Linked DNA regions of Sus scrofa. The protein of the gene in region 5 interacts with the protein of the main gene of each other region in a pairwise test. Links are inferred from orthologs where the notes say so. Each region holds a gene or a part of one and is shown on either strand. Other genes may lie near its edges. The genes, in order: CCDC102B, UBXN11, PDLIM7, MKRN3, ENKD1, BEGAIN and PNMA2.

What was found.
Region 1: the proteins of ENKD1 (region 5) and CCDC102B interact in binary tests that used the Homo sapiens proteins (3 or more experiments, as listed by UniProt). The two-hybrid records come from large-scale screens. The link is inferred for Sus scrofa from reciprocal best matches to the Homo sapiens genes ENKD1 and CCDC102B.
Region 2: the proteins of ENKD1 (region 5) and UBXN11 interact in binary tests that used the Homo sapiens proteins (3 or more experiments, as listed by UniProt). The two-hybrid records come from large-scale screens. The link is inferred for Sus scrofa from reciprocal best matches to the Homo sapiens genes ENKD1 and UBXN11.
Region 3: the proteins of ENKD1 (region 5) and PDLIM7 interact in binary tests that used the Homo sapiens proteins (3 or more experiments, as listed by UniProt). The two-hybrid records come from large-scale screens. The link is inferred for Sus scrofa from reciprocal best matches to the Homo sapiens genes ENKD1 and PDLIM7.
Region 4: the proteins of ENKD1 (region 5) and MKRN3 interact in binary tests that used the Homo sapiens proteins (3 or more experiments, as listed by UniProt). The two-hybrid records come from large-scale screens. The link is inferred for Sus scrofa from reciprocal best matches to the Homo sapiens genes ENKD1 and MKRN3.
Region 6: the proteins of ENKD1 (region 5) and BEGAIN interact in binary tests that used the Homo sapiens proteins (3 or more experiments, as listed by UniProt). The two-hybrid records come from large-scale screens. The link is inferred for Sus scrofa from reciprocal best matches to the Homo sapiens genes ENKD1 and BEGAIN.
Region 7: the proteins of ENKD1 (region 5) and PNMA2 interact in binary tests that used the Homo sapiens proteins (3 or more experiments, as listed by UniProt). The two-hybrid records come from large-scale screens. The link is inferred for Sus scrofa from reciprocal best matches to the Homo sapiens genes ENKD1 and PNMA2.

What each region holds. Positions count from the first base shown.
Region 1 is NC_010443.5:153,888,097-153,891,596, forward strand, and holds part of CCDC102B (coiled-coil domain-containing protein 102B), read right to left. Parts: intron 1,565-3,500; 5' UTR 1,549-1,564; coding exon 943-1,548; intron 1-942. UniProt on the Homo sapiens protein: During interphase, forms fibers at the proximal ends of centrioles to maintain centrosome cohesion. During mitosis, dissociates from the centrosome following phosphorylation to allow centrosome separation. Contributes to CROCC/rootletin filament formation.
Region 2 is NC_010448.4:83,697,516-83,701,015, forward strand, and holds part of UBXN11 (UBX domain-containing protein 11), read right to left. Parts: intron 2,875-3,500; coding exon 2,766-2,874; intron 1-2,765. UniProt on the Homo sapiens protein: May be involved in the reorganization of actin cytoskeleton mediated by RND1, RND2 and RND3. Promotes RHOA activation mediated by GNA12 and GNA13.
Region 3 is NC_010444.4:80,451,708-80,455,812, reverse strand, and holds the start of PDLIM7 (PDZ and LIM domain protein 7), read right to left. Parts: upstream 2,801-4,105; 5' UTR 2,695-2,800; intron 1,730-2,694; 5' UTR 1,720-1,729; coding exon 1,624-1,719; exon of another isoform or gene 1-1,623. UniProt on the Homo sapiens protein: May function as a scaffold on which the coordinated assembly of proteins can occur. May play a role as an adapter that, via its PDZ domain, localizes LIM-binding proteins to actin filaments of both skeletal muscle and nonmuscle tissues.
Region 4 is NC_010443.5:142,498,169-142,502,332, forward strand, and holds the start of MKRN3 (probable E3 ubiquitin-protein ligase makorin-3), read right to left. Parts: upstream 2,801-4,164; 5' UTR 2,674-2,800; coding exon 1,177-2,673; 3' UTR 1-1,176. UniProt on the Homo sapiens protein: E3 ubiquitin ligase catalyzing the covalent attachment of ubiquitin moieties onto substrate proteins.
Region 5 is NC_010448.4:28,286,467-28,290,435, reverse strand, and holds the start of ENKD1 (enkurin domain-containing protein 1), read left to right. Parts: upstream 1-1,169; 5' UTR 1,170-1,224; coding exon of another isoform or gene 1,225-1,634; 5' UTR 1,635-1,737; coding exon of another isoform or gene 1,738-1,972; 5' UTR 1,973-2,481; coding exon of another isoform or gene 2,482-2,708; 5' UTR 2,709-2,919; coding exon of another isoform or gene 2,920-3,022; 5' UTR 3,023-3,371; intron 3,372-3,377; exon of another isoform or gene 3,378-3,522; 5' UTR 3,523-3,537; coding exon 3,538-3,622; intron 3,623-3,707; coding exon 3,708-3,902; intron 3,903-3,969. Other genes in the region: C6H16orf86 (uncharacterized protein C16orf86 homolog), read right to left, coding at 1,225-1,634, 1,738-1,972, 2,482-2,708, 2,920-3,022. UniProt on the Homo sapiens protein: Microtubule-binding protein which regulates microtubule organization and stability. Promotes the stability of astral microtubules and facilitates the proper orientation of the mitotic spindle.
Region 6 is NC_010449.5:121,389,054-121,392,028, forward strand, and holds the end of BEGAIN (brain-enriched guanylate kinase-associated protein), read right to left. Parts: intron 2,670-2,975; coding exon 1,245-2,669; 3' UTR 501-1,244; downstream 1-500. UniProt on the Homo sapiens protein: May sustain the structure of the postsynaptic density (PSD).
Region 7 is NC_010456.5:10,425,590-10,429,727, forward strand, and holds the start of PNMA2 (paraneoplastic antigen Ma2), read right to left. Parts: upstream 2,801-4,138; 5' UTR 2,661-2,800; intron 1,926-2,660; exon of another isoform or gene 1,777-1,925; intron 691-1,776; exon of another isoform or gene 489-690; intron 1-488. Other genes in the region: DPYSL2 (dihydropyrimidinase-related protein 2), read left to right, coding at 3,160-3,513.

The DNA.
Region 1 (3,500 bases), on a different chromosome or scaffold from region 5:
TTGATTTATGGTTGTAGAGGTAGAATTAACTAGAAAGAGGTAATAATATAAACTAATTCTACTTGAAGAGCGAACACAAATTCCTAGTTTCCAAATGTATATTCCATGAGTTGTAGATATATATATATGGGAGGAGGGGTGTTTCATTGATAGATAAGTGTATGAACTGCTAGATTAAAGTTTTAAAATTTTTTATTGTGTGCAGAAATCTCAGAAACTTCAAGATTCAAGTATACCAAGAAATTCCAAGAGTAGGTAGTGTGAAGCAGTCCCTAAAGATATTTGCCTAAGTTACCTATCTTTGAGTGATTAATTGTGAGGACAGAGTCCCAACCTTCAGGAAAGGTTTAAACTACTGTACGGATAATTTCTTAGTAATGGTTTACTAGAGTAAATGGAGAGAAATCTCCATAAATATTTTCTTTTAACATTAAAAAATGCTGGGTTAATTTTGGCTAAAAGTATGAGTAACATAGGCTGACTTGTGTCTCCCCTAAAATTCATATGTTAAGGTCCCAACCCCCTCCAAATATCTCAGGATGTGACTGTGTTTGGAGATAGGGTCTTTAAGAGGTAATTAAGTTAAGATGAGCTTAATTAGTGTGGGCCTAGTGATGGCATCCACAAAAGAAGAAGAAATCTGGACAAAGATGCACAAAGACAATATGGAGACACAGGGAGAAGACAGCTATCTGTAAGCCAAGGAGACAGGCCTCCAAGGAAACTAGCCCTGCTGACACCTTGACCCACCTCAGACTTCTAGCCTCTAGAACTCTGAGAAAATGAATTTCTGTTGCTGAAGTCCCCCAGTCTGTGGGCAGTTAGTTCTGGCAGCCCACACAAACAAACACAGTAACCACTGGTTTTGCTATTTTCCTTTCCCTCCTCATTACTGTCTATAGCATTCAAAAAATCTCTGGATTCCTCTGGATTTTTTCTGACCTTACTCTTTGTGTTCTCCTTGGTAGGAAATTCTCTTTTTCCCAAACACTCTCTGATGGACTCACAGGTTTTGGAACCAATTTGAATTGAGTCTCTCTGTGTAGAGGACACATCTCTGAAACCAGGAAGCTTAAGGTCCTGAATAACTCTAGCTTCCAAAGCCTCCTTTTGAGGTGACAAATTTTGCTTCCTTTTCAGAGTACTCAGTTCCTTCATGGTCATCTCTAATTTTATCCTGAGTTGTCTTGCTTCCTCCCTGGCACTGTTCCTTTCAGCTCGAACTTTACTCCACTTTTCTCTCCAGTTGGCAGTGCAGTCTGACCACCACCGCATGGTCTTCTCCATCTGAGCAGCTCTGGCCTTGACCTCCTCCAGTTCCCGCAGTCGAAGCTCCTCACAAATATCCCATTCATTACTGTTGCATGAGTGAGCACAGACGTTGTGATAGGCATGAGATTGCAGCCCATAAAGTGGCAAATAGGGACCACAGGTGTCCCTGGGGGATGAGGCAGGCACCACCAGGTCACATGCTGGTTTAACTGATGACTGCTGCCTCTGGAAGATTTGTGTTTCCTCAATTAACCGACGAATGGAATCTAAATTCATATTTATCTTTTCAGGCCTAAGAAAAGACAGAGAACATAATTGCATTCGAATTTCCCCTGCAATTATAAGAGCAAGACCGACATTTAAAAAAGGAAGTTGATGAAAACAATGTGTCTTTTTCAATATTGTATATTTCCCTTCCCATTGTAGCTAAAAATATAGAGGAATTTCTGCATTTGTAATTACCCTCAAAGAAACAGAGATTTCTCCTATTTAAATTTGCCAAATAAATACAAATAATATATAAAGATGCAGCGGGGGATAGCATAGGACATGAATAATTCATTTCAACATATCCAGTTCTTTTCAGGTAATATTTATTGCAACATATATTGTCCATTAACTTCTCAATGGTCCCTTTTCCCCTGCTAACTAAAGCCCAATTTGTTCAGGTAGAAGGCAGAATCTATTGATCTTTGGAAGGATAAGCTCCTATTCCAATCCCAGGGGCTAAATTATGATTGGTCTAAACCTTTCGGATAACCTCCATTTAATTCATCATTCCTAATAGATAATAAATAGGTTTAAAGCAGCATGTGACCTGGTTCGGACTGATGAGAGGTCAGGGGAAGTCTGCTAGAGAAGTCTCCCATTCAGAAAAATGTGAAATCATCAGACTGAGAAACACTTTTATTTCTGCTCTCCTCCTGCCTGATCAAAGACAAGATTCTGCAAGAAGGTAAATGTAACAGCCACCCTGTAACATTAAAAATAGTGAAACAGAAGAATGAAAAAAGCTTTGTGTAATGATGGAGCTGCTGCCTGAAAGATAGAATCCATACCCCTGGTTTCCTTGCTGTGTGAGAATGATTACCTAAATTTATTTAAGCTATGACTGTTGAGTTTTCTGTAACTTGCTGTCAAAATGACATCTGACACATAAATTAACTTCCTACTGTGGTTAGTATTTTAAGTTCTAAAAATAAAATATTATGAATAAGACATGATCTGTGTCCTTAAAGATTTCGTAGGCCAGTGAATGAGACAGGCATATCACTGGTGTGTACAAGATACACTAAGGGGTACTGCTAAAGAAGTGATGAACTGTTTTAGAGAAACAAAGTAGCTTCACAGACAACACTGAAAAGAGTCTCAGTAATTCCAGAGCTTTAAAAAGGAATTAAAAGCAGCTTTCCATATAAATAGCAAAGACAAATTAATTGGTAAATGCAAACCTTTCTTATCAGTATGTACATCCATCACTTTATTCAATATAGCAACATAACTATATTGAGGATTAGCAAGTGGAACATTTTCTTTAAAATAAATTCTCAAAACATGCAGGTTAATCTACAAATTAATAAAGTTCTGTGGTTGTATAAGATTACCCATTTTTATTATCAAAGAGTTTCTGGTGTAAATGATCTTAGATAACATTTTACCTTCATGATATTAACTACTCCCATTTTTTTTCCATTTCCTTTTATAGAGTTACAGATCATAAATTGTCTTTTTATGAACCATCCATTTAATCTACTGAAGGGGTTTCATTATACCAACTAAGTTAACTGCTATTGACTGAAAAAAGACCATATAATATTAAATGTATACCACTTTCAGCTGTGGAAAAACACATTTTAGTAAGTGTTCTGTAGGGATGTCAAACCAATTCACTCATTATAATACTTAATATAATAATATAGATTCATGGTTGTAATTATTTTTGTTAACATTAGTTTATGTCAAATCATATTTGAACTAGTGCTGACTTGGAGCAATTATTCCTTTCATTTACTGTAATTCAGTGACAATAATAATATACTGACCAAATTTCTCAGACCACTAGTAAACCAAGACCAGTATTTTAAAAAAGAGAAACTCTTAATTAGAAGCATACCAAATATTATATATTTATATTTACATATTTCACTACTTAATAACATATTTCTTTTTGTTGAAATTTCAAAATGAAGATAGGAAATTTATTTCAGTATATTAAACTGAAATTTATC
Region 2 (3,500 bases), about 55 Mb from region 5:
GCTGAGCTCCAAAGGAGGGGAGGAAAGGGGACAAGGCACCCAGGGGACACAGCACAGGCTGGAGCTAATGGGAATGCAGCTGGAAGGAGCTAATCCTGCCAGGGGTCCAGGCCAGGCCAGTCCCAGGGGCTCAAGGGCAGCCCAGGGACAAGTGAAGCCAGCTACAGCCCACAGAGGGGTCAGGGTAGCATCCTGAGCAGTGGAAGGAAGAGGCAGGAGCCTGGGCCTGGGGGAAAGGGCTGGGGGAGGTGGGGGGACTCAGGGGAGGGTGATGGAGAAGGAGGGCAGGAACTTGATGGGGGAGGGGAGGGAAGCACAGAGGGGATGGGGGAAGGGAGGTGAGGAGGTCAGAGAGGATGGGGAAGAGGGGTCAGGAGCTCAAAGTTGGCAGGAGCTTTCAGCCTTGAGGCTCGACACCTGACTTGAAAGTGGTATGGCCAGAGCAACATCTGACCTGAAAGTAGCATGGCCAGAGCAGAGCCGCCCTTTCAGGTCTGCGTGTACCCTGAGGCACCTGGCACCCGGCACCCGATTTGATGTTCACCCCGCTGGTGGAAGGGTGGGAGGGGCTGAGCTTCCTCTCCCCTGGGCCCCTGCAGGGGCCTCCTCCTTAAGATAGGACTCCCGGGCTCCAGAACATTAGAATCAGCCCCAGTTTGCCCAATACAGACGCCCCAGCTCACCTATCCCCTGGCCTGCTGCCCCAGGGCCTGTGGGAAGTGGTACCCAACAGAGGGAGAGCCAAAGAAAGGAGCCAGAGCATCAGGGCCAGCCAGAGGCTACCTCCATGGGCCCAAGGGTCCTTGGGGCGGGAGCAGTCTAGCAGCTGGGGACCAGGCCATGGGGAAAGGAAGGGAAGAGCGTGGGAGGGTTCCAGGAGGAAAAGCTGCTGGAAGTGAAAAACATGTTGTTCATCGGGTAGGAGAGTGAAATCAAGGTCCCTCCGTGTGGAAGAATCAAAAAGCAAAAGAAGGAAGACGACACACAGAGGGAGCTTGTGGCTGGGTGGCTTTTACAAGTGGCTTCTGAGCTGGCCGTACTCTGTGTGTAAAGCACAGAGCCGGGGGGAGGGGGGCTGCTCTGTTTTGGAGGGAGAGGGTAGGAATCCACAGAGCCAGGACCAGAAAGCAGCTGTCTGGTCTGACTCCTTCCCCAAAGGGGCAGGGCAGCCCCCTCCGGCCAAGAGGATGACTCTCCTCCAACAAGGAGGCCTGAGCCCAGCTCAGGGACAAGGAGGGGAGGGGAGGGGCAGTGCTGGCAGGCCTTTGGCCCTAGAGCCCAGGAACAGACATTCTTACAGCTTCTGGCAGTCACCTGCCAGGGTCTGGCCTCTCATCTGGGCAGGTGTCCCTGGAGAACTTCCCATAGGACTCAGCCCAGGGTTCAGCTCCGGGCATGACCCAGGTGCCACCAAGCTCCCCCAGCTTTGCTATGTCCCAAGTGGACTCAGCATCGTCCCCCCACTCGTGCTCCCCAGGGTCAGCCCAGGTTCCTCCTGCCCCCTCCCTAATGAACAAGCGATCTCCAATAAATCTCTCTGCTCTGCCCCTGCTCACCAGCCCCACCAGTATCACCCTATGCTGGGCATCATCTCATCTTCTGCCCAGATGATTGTAACCACCTCCCAATGGGCTCTCAGCCTTAAGCCTTGCCCCCTCCACTCAACAGGCTTCGGACGTCTTAAGTGCCTCAGTTTCCACATCTGTAAAATGGAATAACCCCAGCTCATGTCAAGACTATTTATGAAAATGCTTTAAAGGAAGTTAAGTGTGGTCCAAATGGGAAGTAATGTTTTTGGAACAAGGATGAGAGGGTTGTGCCTGGAGATTTAGGGGGATCCGGCCAAAGGTGGGACTCCCATGTTTTCGGTTTCGGTTTTTACCCTGCTGGAAACTTGTGAAACCAAGAGAGTGCCATCATCTTCCAAAGAGTCAGCCCGGGAGCCACGCTCATGTTCCCACGGGACTGTCACTGCCTCTGACTGTGGAGACCAATGAGAGCTCCCACTCGTGGGGCTGAAGGCATGCAAGGTCAGCGGGAGGTGCTGCGTCCAGCCCAGCGTGGGCGAGAACACACCCCCATCTATTGGAGAGGACCTGGAGGCTCAGAGAACAGAACCCGAGTCAAGTCACGCCTGGGGGTAGAGTGGCAATGAGGACCCAGCCGTGACCATCTCCAGAGCCCAGAGAAGAACCTTCAGGGCAATGACCTCCATTCTTTGTGGAGAATGGACCCGGCTTTCAGAAGGGGCCAGTTCTATGGGCCCAAATCTCTGGAGTGCATCCCTCTGGATATCAGCACTCGACTTAGGAATAAAAGGGGATGGCGTCCCATAAAAGCAGGTAGATTTCAATAGTTTGCTGTAAGGGAACCTGGAAAAAGAGTCCGAAGAGGAGGCCAAGCCCTGGGACCACAGGACACTTCCAAAGCAGAGGGACTGCTTTCAAAGGCCACAGCTTTGGGAGGGGGGATGTTCTGTGAACTGTGGTGCCTGAGACAAATGAGATCTTGTTACATCTTGTATCTCTGGGTCCCCGGAGCCTTAGAAAGGTGAGCAAACAGAGTCTAGGTTAGGTGCTCAGTGATGAAAGCTGAGGCCTTTCCCTCCTGTCCCTGTGTCAGTGGCAAAGCGTGGGAGGCCTCGGGGCACCTCCTCGTGCTGGGAGGAGGGGCGTGAATGAGATGGCCTCTGGACAGCTGGGCACCATCAGAAGCTGCTGGACAAATCCCTTTGCAGGGGGCGCTGGGGTAGACCCTGACTCTACCTGGCTTCCAGAACTTCTTGGCTGTCATCCAGTCCCTCTCGTTATCCTCAGAGTCCTCTTGGTCCACGGGCTCACCCACCCACTGCAGGCCGTAGTCCCCAAGGAACCGCTGCGGGGAGAGAGAAGGGAGGTGTCCAGGGCCCTGTCAGCTCAGCCCCTTCCAGGGGAAAAGGCAGCACCAGCCCAGCCTCCAGCCTGGGCTCCCAAAGCTGACTGGATCGGGGGGATGGGCCCCAGGGTCTTGAACCACTTCCTGGCTGTGACCTTGGGAAGCCATTTCGCTGCCTAGAGCCTCAGGCTCCTTGTGAAATGAAGCTTGTGAGGAAGACTAAGATAATTCATGTCATGTACTTAGTACCGGGCCTGGCACAAGCAGGAGCTCGCTGAAGGCAGGTGGGTCTGGCCTGAGAAGCAGGAGGGGCAGGGACACCCCACTTGGCAGGTCTGAGGGGACATGTCCACTCACATGTGGCCCCTCTAGGGCTGGCCTCACAGCCCCTTTGCCACAGGAAAACTTTTTTTTCTTTTTTAGGACTGCAGGTGCAGAATATGGAAGTTCCCAGGCCAGGGGTGGAATCGGAGTTGTAGCTGCCAGCCTCCACCACAGCCACAGCCACACAGGACCTGAGCCATGTCTGCAGCCTACACCACACAGCTCACAGCAACGCCAGATCCTTAACCCACTGAGCGAGGCCAGGGATGGAACCCACATGCTCGTGGATTAGTTGCGGTCTT
Region 3 (4,105 bases), on a different chromosome or scaffold from region 5:
CCCTCCCTCCCCACTCCACGCTGGGGTCAGGGTAGAGGGAGAGAGGGCGGGCCCAGCTCAGAAAAGACCACCCTACACACCCGCCCACCCACCAGGGCCTAGGTCCAACTCCAGGGCTGGGCTCAGCTGGTGGCCCCACCCACATGCTAGGCCTGCTGACAAGGGAGCCTGGGCTCAGGGTGCCCCCAGCAGGCCACATCTGAAAGTCCATCCCCTAGGCTACTTTGTTGCCCATCCTCACCAAGGAAGAAACTGAGGCTCAGAGGCCAAGCCAAGGCCTACAGCTACCCAGTCACACTGGCTAGCACTTTCCCAGGGAAGGGGTATACAGGGGGAGGTTTCCAGGGCTGGAGAGACTCGAGAATTGTGTACAGGGTGGGTATATGTGGTAGGGAGATCACTGCCCTTAGCTACCCTTCCGGCAGCGCAGCTCCCAGGGTAGGATCCCTGAGAACAGTGACAGCCTAGCTGTTCTGGCCACCAAGCCCAATTCCGACAGACTCTGCTTTGGGGCCCCCTTGAGCTCAGCTGCGGCTGGACAACCCTCCGGCCCCCTCTAGGCTGTGCTTGCCCTGGGCTTCCTGCCAATAGCTGCCTGCCCACCAGGAGCCTGGGTGGGTCTCTCTGGATAAGCGGATATGGGAGCAGGAAGTCCCCACCTCCTCCTGAACCCACCCTCCACCCCCCACCACAGTGAGAGATACCAGCCCAAGGGCTGGACTCTCTCTCAGGGCAGGCAGCTTGTTTTACATGTCCCACGGCCGATCCCATGGCTAGAGCCACAGCCTGGGGGCGATGAGCTGAGGGGCCCACTGATGTGGTCAGGGGTCCAGGCCCAGACCAGCCTTTTTCAGCCCTGCAGACTCCAGCCACCAGTTGGCCATCCCTGCGTGGGGCTGCATTCTTGGGCTTATAAGGCAATCCCCCTGCCACAGGGAGGAGCCGGCCCCTAGCTCCACCCCCACCAGGACAGGATCTCAGAAGCTGAAGTCAGAGTCCTAGAGACCCATCCCAACCCCTGCTTGGGGTCAAAGCCCACTCCATCCTGAATGGGACCAGTGGATGGGATGGAAGGTCCTCACACAGGCCGGGGAGAGGCACCCCTCACACACACAGACTGCTGGCCATCCCTGTGGCTGAATTCCAATCCCTGTTTTGCCACGGAGTTGCTGAAGGAGCCCTTTCACCTCTCCGAGTCCTGAGTTAGCTCATCTGGAAAAACAGGATGACAGTTGCTATTCCCTGGGTGGCAGTGAGAATGAAGTGAGATCCTGCAGTCAGAGAGCCCTGCCTGGGGCCTAGCTCCAAGCATTGCTCTCTCAAGGAGCTTAGACACTTCCTGGAGACCTCAGAATGGGCATCCCCCTGGGCCTTGGAGGTGGCCACAGGAGCTTCGTGGAACAGCATCAGGTACAGTGCAGTGCTAGGGAAGTGTGGGGGCTCCTCTCCTAGTATCTCCCTAGTTAGGTTGGTAGTCTTCGTGGCAGTGCCCACATATCTGGACCTGGGCACCTCCTGGCCTACCGGCCGTGGCTCACTCCTGTTCAGGCTCTTTCTGTCACCCACTGGAGATCTGAGCACCCCAAGACCCCTGGGGGAGCCCCTCCCTCAATCTAGGCTCACCCGGGAGATGGAGAGGGGCACATTGAAGTCCTTGCCCCCCTGCAGCCGGAAGCCCCAAGGTGCTGGCCCCTCCAGCACCACCTTGAAGGAATCCATGGTGCCGCTCCTGAGAGGAGAGAAAAGGTGAGCAGCTGGCATGGTGGGTACACAGGCAGGCCTAGCTCTGGACATCAGGCTTGGACTAGTGCCAGGAAGGCACGAGCAGACGCTGAGCACACCCAGGGCAAGGGTAGGAGGGTAACTTGTTAAGTTTGGCTGGGCTGCTAGCTGGCAGACTTCACTTTGGAAAGGCAGCGGCAACCCCCCTTCCCCAAGGGACAGGGTGGGTGAGGGGAGCCCGAATCCAGCCTTGAGATTCTTTTCATCCAGGAGTGGATCGCAGGGCTAATTTGGCTCTGGCTTCCCCCCAAGCCATCCTTGAGCCTGGAACTAGACGGCAAGGCCAGTCCGGGGCCGGCGTTCCTCCTTTCCCCCGCCCCCAGGTCCCGGCAGGCAGGCCACGGCTGGAGCCTGCTCGGACTATATAAGGCGTGTAAGCTGACACTGTGCGGAGAGCCAACGGAGGGAACACACGGGGGCTCGGGACGCGAGGGGGAGGGGAAGGGGGGGAGGCGGCTGGAGCGGGTACTAGCCATTCCCGGACTAGTCGAAGCTGCCGTGACCCAGGGCGAGACCCCTGAGCGCTGGGGGAACTGGGCGGGTGCGCGGCCCCTGCGTAGGTCGGTGGGGACTGGGACTTCAAAGCGTGGCCAGGAAGGGAATTCATCCTAGAGTTCAGTGGGGGTGATGCCTCCCCCACAGGCCTACCCTCCTGACGTGACTCGGTTTCCCCCTGGTTCCCCGCCCCGGCCCCATGCATTGGCCGAGTCCCGGGGGCAGGAAGCGGCGCAGGCGCCAATCGGCCCCGCCGCAGCCGGCTTCGCCTCAGGAAGGCGGGGGCGGGGGTAGCGGCTCCCGCACGCCGGAGGAAGCGCAGCTTTGGCCACGACCCCTAGTGCCCGCTGTGGCCCCTAACAGGCCTCTGCCCCCCCGCCTGGCCCAGCCCGAAACGCCCCGCACAGTCGCCTGTACCTGCTCGGCCCCTCCGGGGCGCTGCTCAGCAGCGGGCTCCAGAGAGCCGCGCTGGGATCCGCCGCCCGCGTTCTGGCCCCGCCCCCGCCGCAGACATCAGTTATGAGCCCGCTGGAGGGGGCGTGGCCTGTGGCCACGCCTCCGTCAAAAGTTGAGCCCATGAGCAGTCTCCCAGGCAGTAGGAAGCCCCGCCGAATCCTTCCGTACCGCCCAATCACGAAGTCCGGTCTCTCTTTGCGCTGTAAGGCAAGGCTCTCCCTGGTCCCCTTAATGGGGCGGGGCCTGGGTAGGGTGTGGGGGGGTCTGGGCTGCTGGACAGCCCAACCCGCGGCTCGCCCAGCCCCTTGCGCCTCCCTCTGGCCGAGTGAAAAGCAAGTCACCAAGCAAACCAGGCAGATCTGGACCTGAGTCATCTCTAAACCCTAGTTTCCTACTGGGAAAGTGGGACAGTAATACTCGCCTCACAGGCCACCGTGAAGATAGGCATAGTTTGGCGTAAGGCACAGCCATTGATAGCTCAAGAATATCTAAATCGGGAGTTCCCGTCGTGGCGCAGTGGTTAACAAATTTGATCCCTGGCCTTGCTCAGCGGGTTAAGTATCCGGCGTTGCCGTGAGCTGTGGTGCAGGTCGCAGACGCGGCTTGGATCCCACGTTGCTGTGACTCTGACCAGTGGCTATGGCTCCGATTAGACCCCTAGCCCGGGAATCTCCATAATGCCGCTCCTGCGGCGAGCGGCTCTAGAAAAGGCAAAAAGACACACAAAGACACACACACAAAAGGAATATCTAAATCGGACAGACTTGGTCTGGAAGAGGGAGGGGGTGAACCTTGGAGGTGGGGTTAGTTGAGGTCGACACAGGGGGAGCTTACAGTTAAGTTTGCAGAACACTCCACCAAAGGCAGCAGACAGAGGTATAAAGGCCTTTGGCTCCGCCCCGACCCTATGCCCTGCCCTCACTCCTACCCCCTGACCCTCCGAAGGTTTAGGGCTGACCCCCAAACTGTCGAGATAGTCCTGGTACCCCACTCCAGAGTGGGCAGCGCCTCCAGTGGGGGTTTCACAGACCCCACAGCCCCAATGCTAGCGCAGTGGGAGGAAATTGACCAGGGATCAGGATGGGCATCCACCCCTCACCTCCTTCTAGGGCATGGCTGTGGCTACTCTCCTACCTCCACCATCATCATTACATTTCCCCCTATTCTGCATCATTCCCCTCATAATATAAACTGTAAGAATTTTCACTTTTTTTTTTTTTTTTTTTTTGGCCTTTTCTCATTATAGGGCTGCACCCAGGGGCATATGGAAGTTCCCAGGCTATAGCCGCCGGCCTATGCCACAGCCACAGCAAGGCCACAACAGGAATTCCAGTTACTTCCTAATTTAAACTTTCATTTTCCCCACCTCCCT
Region 4 (4,164 bases), on a different chromosome or scaffold from region 5:
TTCCAAATTACTATCATACTTAGCTTTTGTTACTTTTCTGTATTTTTTTATCTTTCCATGCTTGCATTCTGACTGATTTCAATATGCTTATTAGTCTACTTTATCTTTTACAATCTTGTCGCTTTTATGTTGCAAACTTTTGTCACAAGCCCCTTCTTTGGAATATCTAGAGATCACACAAAATACTGAATACAAAGAATGTGTATCTGAGTCCAGGATTGTGCTGTTATAAAGAATAATGAGATGGTGTCTAAACTGCACAGGAACTCACATTTCTATATTGGTAACAGCAGGGTAAGCTATTAATTCCATCACAGGAATTACCAATGTTGGTATTTTGTAAATTCTTTATGATCACAATTGGCTAGAGACACTGAAATAGCTGCTTTCATTAGATGCTAATCACAGAAGCCTGTGAAAAGGACAGAATTATTCACACACCTCACATTCACCCAACATCAAATCTTATCAGCCTTTAACTTTCAGCTTCTAGCTCTGTATGTACTACATAAACATAATAAAATGGTGTATATCTTTTATATTTATCCTCAAATATATCGCTTTCACACACATTAATATGCATATATATAATTCTTAAATATTACTTCCAAATATAAATAATTTCACATCAAGCTAAACAGGATAAAAACATGTAAACATATGCACTTGGTTCTGGTCAAGTAAAACACAAAACCACAAGGTAACCACAAGTTAAAGAGTGCACTTGAAAGGGATGAGAAGCAACAAATGTGTAAACAACAGAGATAAGCAGTTGCACCACAAGGCCCCTCCAGGGTCGATTTCTTAAGGCTGAAGTAGCAAAAAGCTCCTTGTTCAGTTAAGACTTCTCCCTTCACCCTGTCACATTTATTCTTGAGGGGCTTCAAAATGAGTGTGGACATTCTGTAAACACTAGACTAGAACTGAGTCAATCCTGTTGAAAACAGAGATGACAAAATAAACCATAAACTGACAGTCATATTAATTTCACCAAACAATAACTTTAAGGATGTTTTGTGACTTTTTAGCACAGTGAAACACCATAACCCTAGGGGCAAAGAAATGGGAATGGGCAAGAAAACAGAGATGGATGCTCTAAACAAATGGTTTCAGCAGCTTCTGTAAGTGACAGATGTGTCTATAAACACAACACAGGCAAGAGCAGATGACAGAGCCTCAGCACACCATACAACATGCCACAGAATGCCACAGATTCAAATTGAAATATTCTTCCAGCTCACAATGAAGCAAGTCCCACTGGGTCTCTGAGCAGGGGAGCTCATTAGCTCCCCATGAAAGAAAACACTGACACAACAGATTGGCCAGCCAAAGCATGACAAGCTCTTTTTTACAGCTTTTAAAGGGCATGTCGCCCTCTCCCACCTGCGGAGGCTCCAAAAGTTGACCACGCCAAGGACCGGGTGCCCCAGCACCCTGCCTCTGGGGCTCCTCTCCCTGGCCCTCAGGGAAGGCATGTTTGTAAAAACAGTTCTCTTCAAATGGGCAGAACCTGCCTCTTACAAAATACCTGCAGGGCTTGTGGCTCATTGCCTCCAGGTACTGCTGAATAAGTCTCTGCTTCTCTTCCTCCTCCTCCACCCAGAATTCACTGGGAATGACAAAGGTGGAGATGACTCTGCACTGGGGGCAGGACTTGACGACCCAGGTCCCAAACTGTCTGGCACTCCTCCACCTGCGGATACACTTAAGGCAGTAGGTGTGGTTGCAGCTGGAGAGGATGCCAAAGCGGCAATCATTCCGGTTGGCTTTCTCATAGACCACCTCCATGCAGATGCCACACACTTTGTCCGCACTGCGCTGCACGGCAAACGAGAGCTCCATATTCTGCTCATGTGCTTCCATGCAGGCCCTTCTATGGTCTGCCCTCTGAGCACCATCAAAGGGGTGCAAGACCTTCAGCCCACACAAATCGCACATATCTCCATGAAGATACATACAGCTTGGCCCACGAAAGCATTGCCCCATGATAGCATCGCGGCAAAGCTGCTGCCTCTGGCCCAAGGCAAACTGCTCCCTCACAGTCAGCAAGCCCTGTGGAGGAGCCACGTAGATAGGAGGGGCCATGCGGCCTTGGTACGGTTGCCCGGGAACAAACTCAATGGCATGCTCCCAGCCTTCCGCACCTGCTCCTCCCGCAGCTTCAAGGCCTGCATATTCAGTCTCGGCTTCAAAGAAAACCCTCTCAGCAGAGCCAATCAGAGGAAAAGAGCGTGAGGACACAGCCGGGGGGGCTTCCGCCACTTCCTGAGGCAGGGCCTCGGCGTGCGCAGCCGCGCTGGGGCCACTGTCTGTGGAGGCTGGGGGTGGTGAACCGGGGCCCTCCCTGGCCACCTGCCGCCCTGAGAGGTCATGGGAGTATCGACAGTTCTCCCCCTCCTTGCACTGAGCATGCAGATAATACCTGCAGACCACTTCCTTTGTCCAGCTGCCACTGCTCCGGCCCGGCAGCCATCTGGGCCCAGCCCCTCCCCCTGACTCCTGGGCGGGCCTCACACGTGACGGACGGAAGGGGGCTGGGCCTGGAGCCGGAGACCACCGGGAGGTGGGAGGCACCGGAAGGGTGGGCCAAGGCTTGATCTCCCCGGCTGCCTCGATGTCCCCAAATGTCCCAGCTGCCTCGTAGGGTTCTGTGGGAGCTGCAGGCTCTTCCATGGCAGCTTCTGCTCCCCAGAAATGGTACCGGAACTACCCCGGTGTCTCCTTGTGTCAGCCTTGAGGCCCGGAGGCCGGGCGCTAGCTCGGGGCTGATTTTTAGGAAGTGTGCATCTATTTTCTGCTTCCCCCGGTCCCTACTTCCTGTAATTGTGTTCCTACTTCCTTCTCTGGCAGCGCCGGACACTTCCTGTGGAGGCAACATCGGTCCTACATCACTTCTGCACGATCGGTCCGATCGGTCCGTCAGGAATGCTGACCGGCTTCCTTCTTTGTTCGCAGCCAGCAGCGCTGCCCGCTTTCGGCTCAAGCAGCGTCTCCGCTTCTCTGCACGCAGCCCCTGCTCCCCCGCGTCTCTCCTGGGGAAAGGAATCCCAGCCTTTTGAGGTTTTAATTCAATCGCTTCCATTGTTCCTTCCGACACTGTGATTTGAATGCTTTTTCATACATCTCTCTTTAAAGCGTCTAATCCTCGTTTGTTTTAAAGCCCCGTATGTTTAAAAGGGTGTCTTGTTTCTGAAACATCTCGTGCATAAATTTTATAAATGCTTTGTTTGTTCACTCCATTTTATGTCTGTGTGGGTCGTATTTTTTGTCATGTTTATTTATGGGTTTCCTGACTTTCCCTGCTAGCAGCTTTAATCCCTTTAGTTGTGTTGAAAAGACTTGAGACTGCTCTTTGTTTTCTGGAAATTCTTACCGGCTTTTGTTGGAAACGTTTTTTCCCCTGTGAGACATTAGCAGGGAGCGTTTGTGATCTGTGACTGCTTTAGTGCCTGTCAGCTGTCTTAGGTTATTGTGATTTCTAATGCTTCCCTCCCTCTGTGCAGAAGCAGCAGACTTCAGTGGGCTTGATGCTGGCTTAATTAGCCCCTGTGCCCTTTGTGACCCTAGCCTTTATTTTCTCTTGCTAATTTGACTCACAGTGGCTCTTTGTTTCCCCTTCTTTCATCCTTTTTTGTGTGGTATTGTGTTAGACCAGCCTTTCATAGCATATTCTATGCCCTGTAAGCGGTACCTCTTAATTTTGCAAGTGCATTTTATTATATTGGTTAAAAAAGTAAATTCTCAAATATAAAGCATATTTATGGATGGCTACTGAATTTTATCATGTAGTATTCTGCATTTTTTTGAGAGGTTATCATATTATTTTCTCCCTGTCTTGTTGTTGTGATTATTTGCACTGCTAGGTTTTAACTGTTTAACTTACCATTTTTTATTCCAAGAAAAACCTTTTTGTGGTATGATTTATTATAATTTTATATATTATTGGATTTCATTTGCTTAAACAAGTTTCTTGGAGGGAATTTATGGTCTAAATTTATATTTTTAAGTGTAAGAAAGCCTTAATATAGCACAGAAATTAGAAGCAAAGCAAATAATAAAGATAAATTCATTAAAGAGAAACAAACATGAAGTAGGGGAAATTAATCAAAATCTTCTGTAATGATTATTGAAATTGATAAATTTCTTGTGAAATTTATCAAGAAA
Region 5 (3,969 bases):
AGCCCCACATGCAGAGAGGGAAGGTAAGAAAGGAAAGATGTGGTCAGGGAATTACAGGAAGCCACTAAAGAGTTTTAAGGCAGCTGGGGCAAGAGGAACAGGGTGCTAGAGGGGGAGCAACACCCTCAGGGGTTCAGATGTGTATGTAGCAGAATCATCAGGTTGGTGGGGCAAGGGACCCCCAGCAGGGAGACTAGTGAGCTCTCACCTGGAGATGAGAGTGTCCCAGGCAAGGAGGCTGACTGGGGTTCAAGGGATCTTGGACTGAGAGGGTAGATTCACCTGCCATGATGTCTGATTAGCTGGTAGGAGTCAGCCAAACGCAGGATGGCATCGGAGTGACACGGAGATTTTGGCTTGAACAATTGTATAGATGAGATACTGGAGGAAAAGCAGGTTGGAAGGAGGAGAAATTCATGTAATTTGGAATTACGTGTGTTTAAGGTGTGTGAGGGACATGCAAGAGGACCAGGAGGCGGCAGGCAAGGGGGGGTGGTTTCCAAAAACGGCCAGCACTGGAGACCCCTGAGGGCAAGACACAGGGCTCCAGAAAGAATGTCCACCTCCACCACCCACTGCCTGCCAGGAAAAGGCATCAGTACCTCTGTCACCAGGGGCCACTCTGGGGGCAACATCTGGTCCAGTTATGATCTGCCAGCAAATGGGAAGCATTCCCGAGCTGTCACTCTTCGGATGGGCAAATGAACTCTGCCACCTCAGGGGAGGATCTCAAGTGCTGGTCCCCAAGGTCAGACAGTGCCAGCCCCTTCCCTGAAGACAGGAAGCAAAGCCAAGCGCTTGCTTCCCATGACAGTCCCTTTCCTTTCTCTGCCCCAAGTTCTTCCTTACCACCTCCCTCTCCAACCCCACTGTTATCTTGTCTGGTTCATCTAAAGAGGCTTTAAATGCACAGAATCAAGCCCCTAACCTGAACCCCTGCAGAATGTGATACATTTAGGTCTAGGGCAGTGCCCAGGAATCTCTGTTTCTGTCAAGTTGACTGCACTGGGGAGTCCTCCACCCTTCTTCCCATCCTCTCCCTCTTCAGGCATCTCAGCTGGGGAGTCACAGTCTGAGAAAACGAAAAAGGTTTATTTGTAGCATATCCAACGTCACTGGTGGGGGCAGGAGCCAAATGCCCCCCTCCACCTAAGGGCCTAGGCCCATAAGCTGCTGCTCTGGTTCAGGCTTGAGAGGAAGGGAGCTACCACTGGGGCAGGACATTCACTTGTACTGAGGAGAGAGTGGGGGTACTAGTGGGGCAGCGCAGACACTTAGCATCTTGTTGATGTCCACATGAGTTGACTTGTCTACCTCAGCTTTGAGATGACTGCTGACCCCCAAGCTGGGCAAACCACCAGACTCCTCTCCAGCTTCCTCTCCCAGGGGAACCAGAGGGTGAGCAGGGCACACAAACATATTGGGGCAGGGCAAAGTGAGGCCTGGGCCCAGCTCACCTGCCATGGGCAGCAAGGCCTGCAGTTGCTCCACACCTGCCTCCTCGGGGACCAGGGTCAGCTCCACCTCAGGCTCCACCTCAGCCTCAGCCTCCCTGTCCCCTTCCCCTGCCTGGTTCAGCTCAGGGTTGCAATAGTTGATGTACTGGTACAGGGGCCGCAGGCGCTGGGCCTTTCCTGCAAGGACCCAGAGCAGGGCAGGGGCTGGAGCATCAAGCCGTACCATGTCAGGGGTCCAGCAGGCAGGTGGAAAAGGGAAGGCCCAGGGACTGCCACTCACGCTCCAGCCCCAAGGTCTCTGAAGGCACAGACACTGTGCTGGCTACCACTGGGAGCACTGGGGTCCCTAGACTCTTGCGCTTCTTGGCTTTTTTGTGCTGTTTGGCAGACGGTGAGGGCTCACTCTGGCTATTTTCCAGCTCCTCCTTCTGCAGCAGCAGCCCTTGTGGCAGCTCAGCTTCAGCCCTAAGATGGGCTTGGTGGCTGGATCCTGGGAGACTGGGGGACAAGGAGACCTGAGGAGTCAGCCTTCAGGCTTAGCTCTTGCCCCCTGAGCCTAAGAAATAGCCCTTCCTGCCTATCACCCCAGGCCTAGATTCTTGTCCCTTTCCTGGCCAGTAAGGCCCTGGGCTGAAAGGGGCCAAAAGCTCATGTGAGCTCAGTCCCCTCCAAGGCCTTGAGACTCCCTCTCTGGATGATCCCTTCATCAGGGCACTTGAGGGACAGCAGAGGTGAGGAGTGATGGTGGTGGCCAGGGATGGATAAGGAAGCACACTACAGGAATGCCCAATTGAGGATTTTTTTTTTCCTGCAACCACAGCATGTGGAAACTCCCAGGCAAAGGATTGAACTTATGCTGCAGCTGCAGCCTGATCCACAGCTGCAGCAACACCAGATCCTTAAGCTGCTGTGCCACACGGGAACTTAATGATTAGGAATCTTACTAGGGTGATAGCCACCTTCACTCTCCACCTCCCACCCCCAGCCCTGCAGCTCCTTCCTTCTGAAGGTCCCCTCACTTGACAGGCTTCCTCTTCGGACCATGATTGGGCTTCACAATGGAGGTTATAGGCCTGGGGCCTCTCTCCTCTAGTGCCTCTGCTACTGGCTTGAGCCTCTTTTCCTCCATCTTGAGTCTTTCCTCCAGGAGCTCTGGCTCTGAGACTGCTCCTGTTGGACACTTGTCTTCACCCTGGGTCTGGCAGGCCACAAGGGCTGGCTCCAGGCACTGGTCTCCCATCACTGGACACTAGAAGTGACACATAGGTAATTGGTCACCACGACCAGGCAAAGGGTAAAGGGATCAGTCATTAAACATCAAACACAGATGAGGGCACCATCCCATGCCCTTCCCAGGCTATGGAGCCTGTCCTGGCAATTAGGGAGGGGGTCGTTGCACAGAGTTGGTCTCCTAAAGCGCTGTGCCCAAGTGTTTGAGGGCTACACAGCCTAATGGTCAACTCAGAATTCTGAGCGTAGCCAGTGGGCACCTCAGTGAGCTGTGCCAGCCCCACAGCCGTCTTTTCCTGGGTCCCTGGCCGCCTCTCATCCCCTGCTGAAGCCATTGCTCAGGGGATCAGAGCATCCTCGACGGTTGCTTGGAAGGTGGGGTGGGTGGGAGGTGGAAGGCGGGCCCCGAGGGAGTCAGACTGGCAGACTCAGAGCTGATCTCAGAGAAGAGCTGGGTTGAGAAGAGCAACTGGCAGCCGTTCTGCCCCACGCTCAGCTGGAACTACAAGCCCCAGAAGGCTTTGCGCCAGGGGGCATTGGCCCCTGACCTCAGGGAAGGAAACCACCGTTACCTGGCAACAGCAAACCCATCGGGTGGCAGCTGAGGGCGGTAAAACTGCTTGGGTGAGCCCCCGCCCGGGTGTTGCGGAAGAGGGGCCGCTAACCCCGCTGGGAAGTGATTTTGTGAGTAGGGGGTGTCCTGCGCAGGCCGGGGTCGGGAGGCGGGGCGGGGGCCGGGAATGGAGGGCACAGCCGGAGTCAGGGCCCGGGTCCAGGGAGGAAGCACAGGGCTGAGAAAGGGGTTCCCCAGCCGGAGATACGTGCGCGGTTGCAGGGCGACGACGGCGGCATGTGTGAGGGTCCGTCCGGCATCTCGGGGCCTATCCCCCCAGACCCTACGCTCTGCCCTGACTACTACCGGCGGCCGGCCTCGGGTGAGTGGAGGAGTGCCGCAGCCTGGCGAGGGTCGGGCTCAGCTCTATCACTGAGCCCTGCACTCCGCCCCGTCTGGCCTCTCAGCCCAAGGGCGCCTTGAGGGAAACGCGCTGAAGTTGGACCTGCTAACCTGGAACCCAGACCTAGAAGTCACCCCTCCCAGCGGCCCCCGCATGGGTCCCGGAGCCCGAGAAATTCTGGAGCGTGGCCGGCGCGGCGTGAGTGGCATGCTGCTGCAGCTCGAGGGTATCTCCCTAGGCCCAGGGGCCTCTCCCAAGCGTAAGTTCTGGGCAGAAGGGACCTCTAGGTGAGTTTGAGGTCACAGCTGAGGTCAAAAGCAGCTGCT
Region 6 (2,975 bases), on a different chromosome or scaffold from region 5:
AATCTTAAGCAGCTGGAGAGAAAAAGACAGGTTGGCACCACGAAGAGCTCTGGGAGGGACTGAGGGCAAGCCCCACCCCAACAGGAAGCCAGCGGACATCTCTGTGTGTGGGGGTGGGGTGGGGGAAGGGGAAGAGCCCCCTGCTGACATTCTCCCTGGTGAGAGTAGCCTTCAGGCAAAATAAAGACATCTTCAGAGGGGGGAAAACCCAGGAGCGTTTGTCAGCAGCGAAGCTGAACGAGAGGCCATCCTGAGGAATCTTAGGAAGGAAGACAGCCTGAGGACGCGAGGAGGAGAGAAAGGGGGTCTGGGGGAGCGTCAGGAACGGAGGGCAGTGGTGACGATGAGCAGGGGAGACTGGGTGTCTGGGAGTTGGGGGAGGAGTGTGGCGGTCAGAAGCCCGCCCCGCCGGCCACAGAGAGGGCGGGACGCCGGAGACCCCCAGGGCCACACTTCCCGAGATCGAACGGCGGTAGGGAGAAGGAACCACCAAAACCCGATTTCTTTCCACTGATGACTTTAATTACTGAGTGCAAAATACAGTACTGAGACAGGGCATGCATCACAGACAACAGGAAAGCAAGCCACGGAAACCGGGGGTCGGGGGGCCTCATTGCATCTGAGGTAGAGCGAGGTGGTGCCAGGGAGCGGGACACTGGGGGACGAGCACCGGCCCCACTCGGGACTACAGACCACGGGAGAGCTGGGGGGGACGGGGGCGGGCCACACGCAAGAATAGCTGGAAACGTCTCTCATCCCTTCACCCATTTCGGTTCCCCTCTTCGTGGGCAGAGCTTTGGGGTTCCCTTGTCACTGGCTTGCTGGGGTGTCTCGGCCGGACACCGTCCTTCCCTCCAAGGGGCAGGCCCATCTCGCCCTCGCCGGAAAGTCAAGGAGCTTTGCGCTGGCAACGCCAAGGCCGCCGTCCAGAGAGCTGGAGGCCCAGTGCGTGAAGAAAGACGCTTCTGCACTGTAGAAAGAGGTGCACGTTACAAAAGCAGGGAAAGCTCATCGCAGCCGGGGAAGGATAGCGGTAGGTCAAAGAACGTTCTACCACGGTGCCACGGGGGCGGACGAGACACGTGGGCTGGGGGTCCCCCTCTCAGGCTCGACTGGGCTAGGTGGAGAGGGGTCCTTGTTTGCAGGGCCGGGGAGCTGGGTGTTGGGGAGGCGAGGCTGCACCCCTGGGGACCCGGGACGTGTGTGCGCGGGGGTGGCCGTGGCTGAGGCCTGCACGCGGGCGCTTAGTTGAGCAGGGTCCCATAGAGCTGGGCTTTAGTGAGACTGTCCTTGCGGCTGAGCCCCGAGCCGCCAGCCCGAGGGAAGGCCGGCTGGGGGCTGAGGCGGGCGGAGGGGTGCATCTCCGGGGAAGCCTCCATGGAGCTGGGCTCCAGGGAATCCCTGGAGCTACGGGGGCTGTGCTCGGGCTCGGGGCTGCCACTCGCCCCGCACAGCTGCACCCCGAGCCTCTCCCGATCCCCCTCGCTGGCCGCATAGCTGGGCAGGGGGTCGGCCGCGCGCCCAGGGCTGAGGCTCAGCTCGCCGGCCACCCGGAGGAAGCGGGGCTCGGCCAGGTGGCCCTGGGCGAGGTCATCGCCCTCCGAGAAGCTGTCAGCCTTGTAGCTGGCATAGAGGGGGCTGGCGCGGCCCTCGGCCTTATCCCCGGAGCCTCCCGCCCCGCCCCCGAAATAACGATCATTGAAGTTGCAGGGTGAGGCCCGGCCAGCGGCGCCAGCGGCGCCAGCGGCAGCGGCCGCTGCAGCAGCGGCTGCAGCGGCGGCGGCGGCGGCCTGAAAGGGGTAGGCGCCGATGTCCTCCACGCTCAGGGGCCGCCACTGGCCGCGCGCATCCTCCCCGACCAGCCGGGCTGACCCCGGCTTGGCCCGCAGGTTCCACAGATTAGGGGGCATCAGGGCCTGCTGGGGCCCTGGGGAGACCGAGGGCGCCGGGAAGCGGTAGGGCTCGGCCGGGTACGGGGACACAGTCCGAGGGTACCCCGGGGCTACCGCGGCCTCGAGCGGGGCGGCCACCGCGGCGGCGGCGGCGGCGGCGGCAGCCGCATAGCGCGGGCTGCTCTCGTAGGCCGCGGGCGGCTTGCGGCCGAACAGCTCATCGCGGCTATTCAGGTAGATGGCCTGCTGGGAGGCCGTGAGCGTGCTGGCCTGGGCGTGCTCCTTCTCCTCCGAGGTGGCGCTGAAGCTCGAGTAGGAGCTGGACGTGGGCAGTGAGGCCGCGTAGCCCGGGAAGGCCTCGTGCCGGTAGCTCGCAGGGTAGGCAGCCGCCTCGGCCTCCTCCTCCTCATCGGCCGTGCTGTCGGTGGAATTCTGGGCCTGCAGGAAGCCCACGTCGGCCACGGGCCCATCCACGCTGGGCCGCCGGTCATGCCGCCGCTCCTCCGGGCAGTAGAGCGCCGTGTCGCTGCAGTAGAGGTCCCCCTTGTAGGGGGGCCGGGAGCCCGGCTTCTCCAGCCCGTCGCGGAAGCCCAGGTCGCTGGCCGAGGCATCCGACAGACGGGAGGACAGGCTGGCCTGGTCGGGCTTCTCCAACACCTTGGCCATGACGCAGGCCGGGACGCTGTCGGCGTAGGCCGGGCGGCAGAGCGGGGAGGGCAGGCTGCAGCTGGGCTTGTCCATGCTCAGGCTCATGCGCTCCTGGAACTCAGAGGGCAGCTGCGGGGGGGTCAGGGCGCAAGGAGGCGGGGGACAGGGGTCACGGTCAGCCCGGGACTGGCAGCAGAGACGGACCGCCAGACAGACAGACAGACGGACGGACGGACGGGGACCTGCCCAGGGCCTCTCACACCCCACCAGCTGCAGCCCACGCCCAGGATGCTCCCGGAAGGGGCCAGGCCACCGCCACCCACCCCAGGCCGCTCGGAAAGGGCCCCACAGAGCATGGAGGCTGGAGCCAGGCTCTGACTCGGGCCCCTCCTGGGCCACCCCCAAGGGTGCTCTTCCAGCCCTAGGGTCTCTGGG
Region 7 (4,138 bases), on a different chromosome or scaffold from region 5:
CATTTCTTTGATTAAAAAATCCAATCAGAAATCACTCAAACATTTAAAACCAACTGAACACAGGTATAAAATATAACATATAATACACTTTAATATAACATTATAGGTAAAATTTAATATAGGTTTAACAATTAGAAAAAACTTGTAGAACCAAATAAGTTAAACTTGGAATTATGAATTCCCTATGGTTATGCCTGGTCAGGTTTTGAAAATGCACAAGTAGGGGCCTTTCTTGCTATAAATGTTTCATTAGTAACATGATGCTTTCTTCATAGCATCTGAACTTGAATGGGTGATTTGAGGACAAAGAAAAATCGAGGAGGCACATCTGTGGTGAGCCGGTGGAGACTGAATAATGTAAAAAGGGAAGACTGTCTATCATCCCGTTGCTGTCATGCATCGTGGAGTGTGTGTTAAGGTGCCACAACTATTTTTTCCCTAAAAATCTCCATCACTCCAAATGGGGTCCATATGCCACAGATGCCAACCTGCAGCTACAGTGGCAGCTGTTCTTGCTGCAGGCACATTTCCTGAGTCCTTCTGGAAGGTGCTGAAAGTGGGGCATGTGCCAGAGGGTCAGAAGGGCAAAATGCTGGATCACGTCCTTGCCCTGCAGCCCCAGGGATCTGAACCCAGGGACTTCATCATGCCTCCTGTTCCTCTTCTAAGACGTGGGAGTGACCTTCCTCCCTGTTGCAATAGAGGAAACATAAGGTGGAAAAAGACACTGGGTACCCAGGAAGAAACAGCTCTAAGGTCTACATAATAATGGTCATGCTGAAGTTAGGCTATCTTTGGGTGTCTTCTTCTTCCAAAACCAGTCTCTACCTGCAATGCAACCTACCTTCAAGTTAAAAAAAATAAAAAATAAAAATAAAAGGCGAGTGAAACATTCCTGACACACAATAAAGCCACAGATGGAAATATTTGAATATAGGGGAAAATGTGAAAATCTTGTCCTTTCTCCTATAAAGACAGGATAAGGTCAAAAAGGAACCAGACTTCCAGGTGGAAGACCTCACTGGAATTGCTGGATCATTTAACTAGACAGTTACCTTGGGCAAAGCCTCTACATCTGTTTTCTACCCTGGAATCCTGGGAAGTGGTGACAATGAAACACTCATCTCAGGGGGCTGCTGGCAGTAGGAAATGGCGTGATTCGTGTGGAAGCATTTTATTCAAATGTGAAGCACATCTGGTGCTCAGTCCAAATGCCTGCCTCTGGTTCTCTCATCCCCTGCACATGTAAATTCCTCTCTCCTCCCTCCTCCTCTCCTTCTCATCCCCAGATGCCTTCCCACCTATCATGGTGGGCTTATCTTCAAACTGGGACTGGTTGTCCTCAGAATTTAACTCCATTTACCAAACTATCCATCACAATTGGGAGAGGCAGGGTATCCACATTTAACCCTTCCAGGGGTGAGGGATGACAATGGGATCGGATCTTTGGTTACTCTGCCCAGCAACGACACTCCTATGGTAGAGTGTTTTCCAGTCCAACCCACCCAGCTTAGTGAGCATGCCCAGAGCTCCTTCTCCAGCAGCCAAAGGATGGGCATCATTTCTGCAGGATTTTGCCACTGAAGAGAGAAAGGCAGGGCTGTAATCAATCATGGGCAGGGACTGAGACGTGGAAAGGACAGAGGGATAGGTGTAAGTAATAAAGAGCCCTCAGAGACTGTGTTACTGGCATACATTAAAATGCCCTCTGGATGCCCACTAAACCGGTGGTGGCTGTGGCTAGTCTACTGGCGCATGCACACCATGTCCCCATACCTCATTCTCCTGCTGGATTTCACACAGTTCTTCACTCATCACAGCTGGCACCCCATCTCCTTACCCTGCACTGGCCGCGCGCGCAAGAAGGCCTCAGGCACGAGGCTTCTGGCAACCTAGGAAACCCCGTGGTTCTGGCGCAGTGCGCAGCAGGGCGGGGAAATGAGGCGGGGCGCCCTGGGCGCTGGGTAGGGCTGGAGATTTGGGGAGTGGGCTTCAAAGAATGTCTTTCTCCCTTCTTTGCCGGGTTGGGGGCGGGGGAAGATGCATTCTGCTGGGCTTTTCTTGGCGCTGTGGCGCAATTACGGTATACGGCGCGCCAGTGTAGCGGTCTGCTCCCTCTCTCACTATACATCCAAGTTGCCGCGCTGGGCTGGAATTTGCAGACTACACTCTTTGCTACACTCCCACAGACCGTGGACCTATGTCTCTCTCTATATATACCGACTTCCTCCGCATTTGCTATGCCTCTCTGCATTTCTCTCCGCCACGCTGCGCGCCCCCCACCACAGTGGGTATAGTAAATGAGGAACTTGTTTCAATCTCTGCTCCCAGTAGCCCACCAAGGCCAATGGATAGACCGCGCCCTATATGGCCCCCACCACTCTGCGCAGCCTGCGCCATCCTTTCTCCGTCCTGAGTGCCGCCCCTTACCTTCCCGCTGAGTGTCCTGAGTCTACCAGTTTCTGCCCCTTTTCCTATCCATTAGCTCGCACTCGGGTAAGGGGGAGGGAACCCTCCACACAGTGGGCCCTCGCCCCTGGGCCAGCTCTGCATTGCGGTGGGAGAGAGGTGCCTGGGCCGGGCAGTTCGGGGAGAGGGGAGCGGGGGCCTGGGATGGCGCCCTCGGATCTTCGCCCCAGCGTGCCCTGCCCCATACTTACCCTGGGGCCGAGAGCGGTCAGCGGGCTTTCTGCTCCGCATCCATTAGCCGGGGGTCTGGCCGCTTCACTTCCGGAGCGTGGGGTCTGGGCGGCGCGGCCCTCCCCAGCTTCCCCAGCGCTGAGCTCCCCTCCCCAGCGCCGCGCCCCGCCCCCGCCCCGCCCGCGCCTCCCCCCACCTCCCGCCGCTGCTGGTAACTGGCAGCCTCTCGGTTCTTGCTGCCGCAGCGGCCACCCTCCCAACCCCAACTTTGCCGCTCGCGGGAGCTCGCGAGGCTGCGGGGGGCGTGGGCAGGGAGGGGAGAAAGCGGGGTCAGGGGGAGGGACCGGGAGGGGTGGGTCGCTCGCTCGCCAGCCCTCGTTCCTTTCTGTACACCTTGCGGTAGGCAGAGAGCAGCAGCCGAGGCAGCAGCCGGGGGGGATTTTTGCACAGAGACAGGCAGACTTAGGGACCCGCTGAGGAAAGAACGGACAGAGAGGACACTCCCCAAGCCCCCAAGCCATGGCAGAGAGGAAGCAATCCGGGAAGGCGGCAGAGGACGAAGAGGTCCCTGCCTTTTTTAAAAACCTGGGCTCCGGTAGCCCCAAGCCTCGACAGAAATTCTGTGGCATGTTCTGCCCGGTGGAAGGGTCCTCGGAGAACAAGACCATCGACTTCGACTCGCTGTCGGTGGGCCGGGGCTCGGGGCAGGTGGTGGCTCAGCAGCGGGACGTCGCCCACTTGGGCCCGGACCCGCAGCCGCCGTACTCCCGGCAGGGTCGGCGCGCCGGCGGGGAGCCATCTGTTGAATCGGGCCGGAAGGTGGAGATCCGGCGGGCCTCCGGTAAGGAAGCCCTGCAGAACATCAACGACCAGGTTGGTATGGAGGAGGGGCGGAGGTGTTCGAGACAGGACGGAGCGTGGGGCTCGCCCCTCCCTCGCGCCCCTTCCAGCTCGGTGAAAAGCCGAGGATCCCAGCGTGCCCACCGTCCTGCCCCACCTCGAATATCGCTTCCCTGCATGTGCACAAGCACCCCACCCTACCCGCCCCTTCTCCGTGCAGGGTTCGGAGAAGCTCGGGCTGGGCGGTGGGCGGCTGTGCGCCCACAAAGGCTCCCCGCGCTTCCCTGGGCCTGGGTGGTGGGGGTAGGGGTAAAGGATGGGCCTATCCCCGGCTGGGGGGTCTCTTGGTTGGAGGGGGAGGGGATGGGCCGAGGTTCCATTCTTCTTAAATCCTCCCGGGCAGCTTCCGATTGCAGCTGTGTCTGGCTGCCCCACCCTTTTTTGATGCAGCTCAGAGCGTGCAGTGGAGGGTTCGCGTGAAGGCCGGCGGGTTCCCCGGGGGTCGGGAGGGGCGGGGGCCTAGACGACAGCTCCCCGCCGCGCCCTGCGTACACTTCCAGCGCATCCCCTCTGTCGTCCTCCGCTCTCGCATCCCGAGCTCGGAGGCCAGGACCATGGTCAGCGCCTCCTCGGACTGCAAGCGAGAATCTATCTCGTC